Linked DNA regions of Cricetulus griseus. The protein of the gene in region 1 purifies or fractionates together with the protein of each later gene. This does not show direct contact. Links are inferred from orthologs where the notes say so. Each region holds a gene or a part of one and is shown on either strand. Other genes may lie near its edges. The genes, in order: Sox9 and Fbxw7.

Region 1 (4,464 bases):
TCCTCCAGAACGCCCACCTGCGCTCAGGTCTAAAGGGACACGACTAAAGTCCAGACGCCTAGCGCTGTGCCCTCCCAGATAAAGGAAGGCCCAAATGAGAGAGTCGCAGGACTCCGCCAAACTGCCTGTTTTGTCTGAAGTTTTCCAGTCCAAGTCACGGGCCTCCTGGGCCTCGCTGCCCGAGCTGCCACCTTTGCAAACTTCACCCTCAACGCCGGAGCAGTTTTGCAAACTCCGGTGGTGACCAAGCTGACGTTTGTGACTCACTCAGACAGGAGGCAAGAAGCAAAACTCTAAAGTAATAACCCTAACACCGAGGGGCGTCCGAGTGCTGGAGGGGCCGGGAAAAGGACTTGTCAGTCCAAGGTCGGCGTGGCCCACGGGACCCGCCAAGAGAACCAGGGACTGCCGGGTCGCCGCCAGCCTTCGCTGGCACTCAGCTTTGGTTTTCATTGATTCCCACTGCGAGAGCGCTGCAGAATCTCCAGCCACCACACCAGCCTCGGAGAACCAGAGCGCGTTAATCTATTTATATGGATTATTACAGAAGAACAGCGGGCGTTGAGTCACCCAAACATTTGCTTCCAAAAGACCATTTCTAAGCACTTTTGGAAGCGGCAGGCTCCGGGCGCAGAAGCCGAGCGAGCGAGCTCCGCGTTGAGGCGCGGCTGTTGCAGTTTCCACTGCAGTAAACGCCAGCGAAGCCCCGGGTACCGCGGAGACAGCTTGGAAAAGTAGTGGGGTGTGTGTGTTGGGGGGGGGGCGTCCTAGTCTAGACACGCGCGCGCGCGTGCACACACACACACACACACACACACACACACACACACACACCTATTCACACTGAGACGGTTCCAAAACTGTGACATTCCTAGAGTAGAGAGCAAACTTACACACTCGGACGTCCCGGATCCCCCGCCTGCCCCGCGGTGCCCCCCCCCCAAAGTCCCCTCACCCCACCATCCACCACCCCCACCCCCCGGCTGCGCTCCCCTCCCTTCTCCACCCCTCGTGTCTCGTCACCCAACCCGGAGCCACAATCCTCCTCCCCCTTCTCCAAAATGCGGTCCAATCAGCTACTTGCCAACCCTGATGACTGCGGAGCCGCGATTGGTCGGAGGTCTCTAAGGTGAAGGGGGAGTATTTATTAAAGAGACCCTGGGCTGGGAGTCGGAGAGCCGTGAGCGCTGCTCGGAACTGCCTGGAAACTTCAGTGGGACGACAACTTTACCAATTTCAGTCCAGGGACTTTTCTTTGCAAGAGAGACCGGGTGCAAGTGGCCCCGCTTACGTTCTCTGTCTTCCCTCCCTTCTCCTCCTCTCCGATTCGCCTTCCCCGGGTTTGGAGCGGGCAGCTGAGCAGCGGCCACCTAGCCAGTGCCTCTGCTAAGTGCCCACCGCTGCCTCCCGGTGACGCGCCAACCTCCCCGGGAGCCGCTCGCTCGGCGTCCGCGTCCGGGCAGCAGAGGGAAGAGGAGCCCCAGCCGCCGCGGCTTCTCGCCTTTCCCAGCCACCCGCCCCCTGCCCCGGGCTCGCGTATGAATCTCCTGGACCCCTTCATGAAGATGACCGACGAGCAGGAAAAGGGCCTGTCCGGCGCTCCCAGCCCCACCATGTCCGAGGACTCGGCTGGCTCGCCCTGCCCCTCGGGCTCGGGCTCCGACACGGAGAACACGCGGCCCCAGGAGAATACGTTCCCCAAGGGCGAGCCGGATCTGAAGAAGGAGAGCGAAGAAGACAAGTTTCCCGTGTGCATCCGCGAGGCAGTCAGCCAGGTGCTGAAGGGCTACGACTGGACGCTGGTGCCCATGCCGGTACGCGTCAACGGCTCCAGCAAGAACAAGCCACATGTCAAGCGGCCCATGAACGCCTTTATGGTGTGGGCTCAGGCTGCGCGCAGGAAACTGGCAGACCAGTACCCGCATCTGCACAATGCGGAGCTCAGCAAGACCCTGGGCAAACTCTGGAGGTGAGCGCGCTTGATCATCGGGTGGGCTCGGTGGCTACTGGGATGGGGGGCTGCACTCACCCAACCCGGCCCGCCTCCCAGAGCCAAGGAGTTGCCTCCTGTAATCTCTGAGGAGTCGGGATGCGCAGTTGGGGCGGATAGGGGAGGTTGGCTCAGAGTTTGAGAAAGTTCTGGGGATTGCTCTTGGCCAAGGCGCGCGGGGGGGGGGGGGGGGGGAGTTGAGCCGCACCAATGTGATTGCTTTTAAGAACCAATGGGGGGAGTGGAGGGGTGTGCCAACCTGGTCCCCTCGAAAGGAACAATTTGAGGAAACACACACACACACCAAGCTGCTCTCTCCTGGGAAGAAGGGATAAAGGGAAAGTTGGGCTGGAGGTGACCCAGGCAGGAATTAGGGAAAAGCTACTGAGAATCGGTAGGGGCGTGGACGGACTCAGTGAGCTTCTTGCGTTGTAAGTGGGTTTTCAGAAAGGTTTTACAGGGTGTTGGGAGGGGGTGGACCGCTCCGGTAGCAAAGGCGTTTAGAGCGCCTCGGCAGGGAGCTGTTTTCATCTTCAGGGTTTCCAAAATAGGAGGCCAGGGGAGGGGGCGGGGCGAAGAGTGACCGTTCAGGTCGACTCCAAGCACTTAGAAGAAAGAAAGGAAAGTTCTGAGCCTCGGTGGAGGATGGCAAGCAGAATAGAGGGAGGAGGGGAAGTGCGCGAAGGAGGGGTGGGGACATGACCGCTCCTGGGGTTTCACTGATCCCCCTCTCCCTCTTTTCTTCCGCCCCTCTTCCCAGACTGCTGAACGAGAGCGAGAAGAGACCCTTCGTGGAAGAGGCAGAGCGGCTGCGCGTACAGCACAAGAAAGACCACCCGGATTACAAGTACCAGCCACGGCGGAGAAAGTCCGTGAAGAACGGGCAGGCAGAAGCCGAGGAGGCCACGGAACAGACTCACATCTCTCCTAACGCCATCTTCAAGGCGCTGCAAGCCGACTCCCCGCACTCCTCCTCCGGGATGAGCGAGGTGCACTCCCCGGGAGAGCACTCCGGTAAGTAAAGGGCAAGAGATCTACTAGGCCTAGCCACTCTGGGCCCCACCGGGCACACCCTTAACACCCCCTCCCCCATTCCCCAGGATCTGGGTGGGGACTTTGAGGTCCCTGGGGTGGGGAAACAGCATTCCCTGCACTCCCTCTCTGTCCAGGACCCACCGAAATAGACGGGCGCACCACACACACACACACACACACCACACACGCCCCTCAACCTGTGATTCCTGAACTGGATTCTTTATTGCAAGGTAACATGTATTAATGACTTCACGAAACTTGCCCACTTTTCTCTTTGCGGCTCACCCCCAAAGCACACACTCTTCAACAGGTAGCAATTTAGCCTTCCGGACCCTTGGGACCTCAGACCACTCCGCTGATAAAAGGAGCTTGCCTAGTGTGTACCTGCGGGTTAATCATTCGGCGACTTATCGTTAGTACAGCCCGCCTTCTGCTCCGGCTCGGGTCCTAATGACACCTTAGCAACCAGGGAGATTCCCCGGGGGACTCCTAAGACCAGAGGTTTTGCACAGCCCTTGTTGATTTTTTACGGTTTGTCTTTCTTCCCTTTTATTGCCTGCAGGGCAATCTCAGGGTCCACCGACCCCACCCACCACTCCCAAAACCGACGTGCAAGCTGGCAAAGTTGACCTGAAGCGAGAGGGGCGCCCTCTGGCAGAGGGGGGCAGACAGCCCCCCATTGACTTCCGCGACGTGGACATCGGTGAGCTGAGCAGCGACGTCATCTCCAACATCGAGACCTTTGACGTCACTGAGTTTGACCAATACTTGCCGCCCAACGGCCACCCAGGGGTGCCGGCCACCCACGGCCAGGTCACCTACACCGGCAGCTACGGCATAAGCAGCACCGCCGCCACCCCTGCGACCGCGGGCCACGTGTGGCTGTCAAAGCAGCAGGCGCCGCCCCCTCCCCCGCAGCAGCCCCCGCAGGCCTCGCAAGCCCCGCAGGCGCCTCCGCAGCAGCAGCAGGCACCCCCGCAGCAGCAGCAGGCACCCCCGCAGCAGCAGCAGGCACACACGCTCACTACACTGAGCAGCGAGCCGGGCCAGTCCCAGAGAACACACATCAAGACGGAGCAGCTGAGCCCCAGCCACTACAGCGAGCAGCAGCAGCCCTCCCCGCAGCAGATCGCCTACAGTCCCTTCAACCTTCCGCACTACAGCCCCTCCTACCCGCCCATCACGCGCTCGCAGTACGACTACACAGACCACCAGAACTCCGGCTCCTACTACAGCCACGCGGCCGGCCAGGGCTCGGGGCTCTACTCCACATTCACCTACATGAACCCCGCGCAGCGCCCCATGTACACCCCCATCGCTGACACCTCGGGAGTCCCTTCCATCCCGCAAACCCACAGCCCGCAGCACTGGGAACAACCGGTCTACACACAGCTCACCAGACCCTGAGGAGCCCTTGAAGAGGGATGGAGAGGGAGCTG
Region 2 (3,813 bases), on another chromosome or scaffold:
GCAGTCACGGGCAAAGTAAGTTCACTTCTTTCCATACTTCTATGAGTCACCATTTTGTGTGTGCAGTCACAGTAAAGTGGGGTGTTGGATCCTCAGCTGTTTTGATAACAAATATTTGATAACAAATAACAAAATGTCTTTAGAAATGTGGTCCTTCTTCCTGTGGTTATGTCACTTTGGCATGGTGGCAGTGGTGTTTTCTTCATTTAAATAGTTTGTTGTCTTTTTCCTTAGATATTCTAAGATTTCTCAGATGCCCCTCTTCTCTGAGCTTCCGTCTCACCTTTCCCATCATGGCTCCCTAACGTCTTCCAAAATATGACTGAGTGATTTGTAATTTTCCTTGTAGACTGCTTTGTTGCTGAGCTATCTATAATTTAGAAATCAAGTAAATCCTGTTAATCTAAAGTTGTCTCAGACTTGAATGGTAAGGAAATGAAGCAGGGGAGGTTTTAAATACTGGGTTGAAGAGCCAAGCAGTAGCTTTATTTCACATAGCATTCCTTAATGAGTCGCTAGTGAATATTGACTTTATCTGTCCAAAGGAGAATTTTTTTTATGAATTAAGTAATCAATCATTTAAAAGGTAAAAGAAGACAGTATGTTTTAAAAAAAAATGTCTTTCGCTGTGTTGTTCCTTGGACAAGACTCTTATAAATACCCAAAGCAGATGTTAAAATTTTCAGAGCAGCTACACGTTTCCAGGATATAATACTAGTTTTGGACTTATCTCAGAGTCTCAGTGTCTGTCTTTACATGTCTAGAGTAGCATGGCCAGCCCCTAACTACTGCCTTAAGGCAGACGGATGCACTGTGGTATGTGGCCACACCCAACTCTCTTGGCATTCTTGCCTTGGTTCTCCTCCATGGGAGGCACCCTTTTGCAGTTTTAATATTATTTAATCATAGTGGTCAGGCTAGAGCTGTTGAACTTGCTTGTATTACATTATGTTTGCTTTCTGCCATGTCTTATGCTTTGTATCAAATGATTCTTCTTAAATTTCTTTACTTCATTTTATTATTTTGTGTTTGTGTGTGTGTACCACATACATGCCAGGTGCCCTCAGAGACCAGAAGAGGGCATCAGATTCCCTGGCATTGGAGTTATAGGTGGTTGTAAGGCACTAGGTGCTGGGACTCAAACCCCAGGTCCCTGAAAGAGCAGCTGGCGCTCTTAGCCACTGAACCATCATCTCTCCAGTCCTGTCTGTTTCATATCATGTTTGCTATGCATGCATAAGCATATACTGCTACAAAATAAACAATTCGGTAATAATGGTGTCATGTAGCATCGATGTGTAGATGCTTTCCTGGTGATCTAATAAAGTTGAATATGTAAGACTTTATTCCAGATTCTAATGAGATGTTAGTATATTTTTTGACTTGCTTTCATTTCTACCTAAAATTAATCATCTGAAGTGTTTTTTCAGTGTCTAAGAACATTAGTGGGACACACAGGTGGAGTATGGTCATCACAGATGAGAGACAATATCATCATTAGTGGATCCACTGACCGGACTCTCAAAGTATGGAATGCTGAGACTGGAGAGTGTATACATACTTTATATGGGCACACTTCCACTGTACGCTGTATGCATCTCCATGAAAAAAGGTAAAGGAAATCCCATTATGATGGGGACTTTCACGTCTGTTACTTGTGAATTTGAGATTCAAATAGTGCTAATGAGCTCCAAAAGTTGATACTAATGATTACAGTGCAATATTCCTTAGTTAGTAAAATCAGGTTATATTGGCTTAAAATTGGAGGATTGTCTTAAAATTTTCTTTTTCATTCAATGACTGTACAATCATTTTTCTTGACGCTCAGCTCTCTAATCCCCTTTGTTGTTCGTTTGGTGACTCATCATCTTCAAAAAAATCATTTTCTTTCTTGACAGTCATATGTAGGAGCAACAAATTCAGTCACTTCGACATTAGCCTGAATCCTTGAGTGACCCACCCACTTTGCCCCCACTCCATCATGTCCCTAGATCTGAACAAACACTGAGGTCCAGGGCTTTCACTTATTTTCTCATTACCTGTCATCTGAACTATGCAGAGATCTCAGGTCCTGACTTTTGCACAGCTGGCAGAGAGCTCTGGTATTAGGATTGTTTCAGCCACGTCTGGCCTGCTAGTCCATTCTTTCCTGGTGCCTCTGCCTGGTGCTTTGTATCTTACCTGCAGTGTCTTCTGCTACAATCATGTCCTTCTGTTGACACATCTTCATTGCACCTAGCTAAAAAATTGTGTTTTCTACTTCATTTGTCAAAAAATATTCTTTTGGCCTGATATGAGAACATGCTGCTAATCTTTGCACTGGAAAGATAGAGACAGGAGAATCCTTGAAGTCACAGCTTTTTAGAGGAGACCCTTCCTCTAAAAGAATGTATCTTAGAAGAATCATTATAACGAGTTCACAGCAGAGCAGCCATGACCTGTAACTCTGTCCATGCTGCTTTATCTATTAAGAACTGTTTTGGTAAGTAGGCTGTACCCTGCAGGTGTGATATATATACAGGGACTCCTTTTTACTTTCAATTTGAACCACTTTGCACAGTGTGTTGTGTGATTAAAATTTAAGGGATGAGTTTCAAGAGACCTTGCATTTCCATGTTGGTTGCATTCATTTTCCCACACTTAATCATTCCACTCTTCCAAATACAGAGACTGACTTTTATCTCTTGGGAATGTGACATAAAGGTACCTGGTTAGCAATCCAGAGGTAACTGCATGGTTGTATCACTCCTCTTTTTAGAACAGTATAATTTTATAACATTGAGCCAATTTCTGTTACTTCTATAGGAATATCTTTAAAAATCTGTATCAGCACATATCTGAAACCGCATTCCCTGCATGGGAAGTATAAGAAAACAGCCCTAGTTTTCTGAGACCCAAATTAAATGTAAAATTTTTTTTTTGAAAAATAATCATATTGAAAAGTTTACTTTCTCAAATAGGTAATAGGAGTTCATAATTGAAATGTAATGGAAGGACAAAGATATTAAAAACAGTTCTGGATTGTTCTAAGTTTAATACCACCTAATTCTGCATTGAGGGTTGAGCTGCGTGTACCATGCTACCATTTCACTTCTAATCAAGATAAATTGTATGTATGGAGAGCTGCTTGCTTCTTGAATAGGGTGAGGTTGTTTCCTTAAGTCATGGACTTCTAGTCTTCCTCACTTCCCATTCCAGGCAGAGTAACTTGAATTTATATCTGAAGGCATTAGGGTAGTGATTCTTGTTAAAGTGTTTCTGTTCTGTTTATGAAGAGAAAGCGAACACTGTTTTGCAGGCTATGTGCATTTGTGCTCTTCAGAATTCTAATACCTTGTTTTCTGTTTCCTCTCTGCAGAGTTGTTAGCGGTTCTCGAGATGCCACTCTTAGGGTTTGGGATATTGAGACTGGCCAGTGTTTACATGTCTTGATGGGTCATGTAGCAGCGGTCCGCTGTGTACAATATGATGGCAGGAGGGTTGTTAGTGGAGCATATGATTTTATGGTGAAGGTGTGGGACCCAGAGACTGAGACCTGTCTACACACGTTGCAGGGACACACTAATAGAGTCTATTCATTACAGGTAAGAAGCTGTCTCACCCATCCACACCCCTAGATGCTCTGGTGATGACTCATAAGATTTTTCTTTTCAGCTAGTTACCGTCAAGTTGCTGTTTATATATACCTTAAAATTACCATGAAGAAAACAATAAATTTCAAAATCATTTAGCTGATTTAATGGCTTCGATTTCTATGATCCATTTTCTCTTTAAAATGCAAATATTTGTCTTAAAACCTGATACTTCAGGGCT

The links.
Region 2: the proteins of Sox9 (region 1) and Fbxw7 purify together in Homo sapiens (affinity purification with western blotting; 4 studies listed by BioGRID and IntAct, with this or other methods). This does not show direct contact. The link is inferred for Cricetulus griseus from reciprocal best matches to the Homo sapiens genes SOX9 and FBXW7.

The regions. Positions count from the first base shown.
Region 1 is NC_048600.1:125,500,840-125,505,303, forward strand, and holds Sox9 (transcription factor SOX-9), read left to right. Parts: upstream 1-1,538; coding exon 1,539-1,969; intron 1,970-2,750; coding exon 2,751-3,004; intron 3,005-3,587; coding exon 3,588-4,432; downstream 4,433-4,464. UniProt on the Homo sapiens protein: Transcription factor that plays a key role in chondrocytes differentiation and skeletal development.
Region 2 is NW_023276806.1:69,439,672-69,443,484, reverse strand, and holds part of Fbxw7 (F-box/WD repeat-containing protein 7), read left to right. Parts: coding exon 1-15; intron 16-1,430; coding exon 1,431-1,612; intron 1,613-3,358; coding exon 3,359-3,584; intron 3,585-3,813. UniProt on the Homo sapiens protein: Substrate recognition component of a SCF (SKP1-CUL1-F-box protein) E3 ubiquitin-protein ligase complex which mediates the ubiquitination and subsequent proteasomal degradation of target proteins.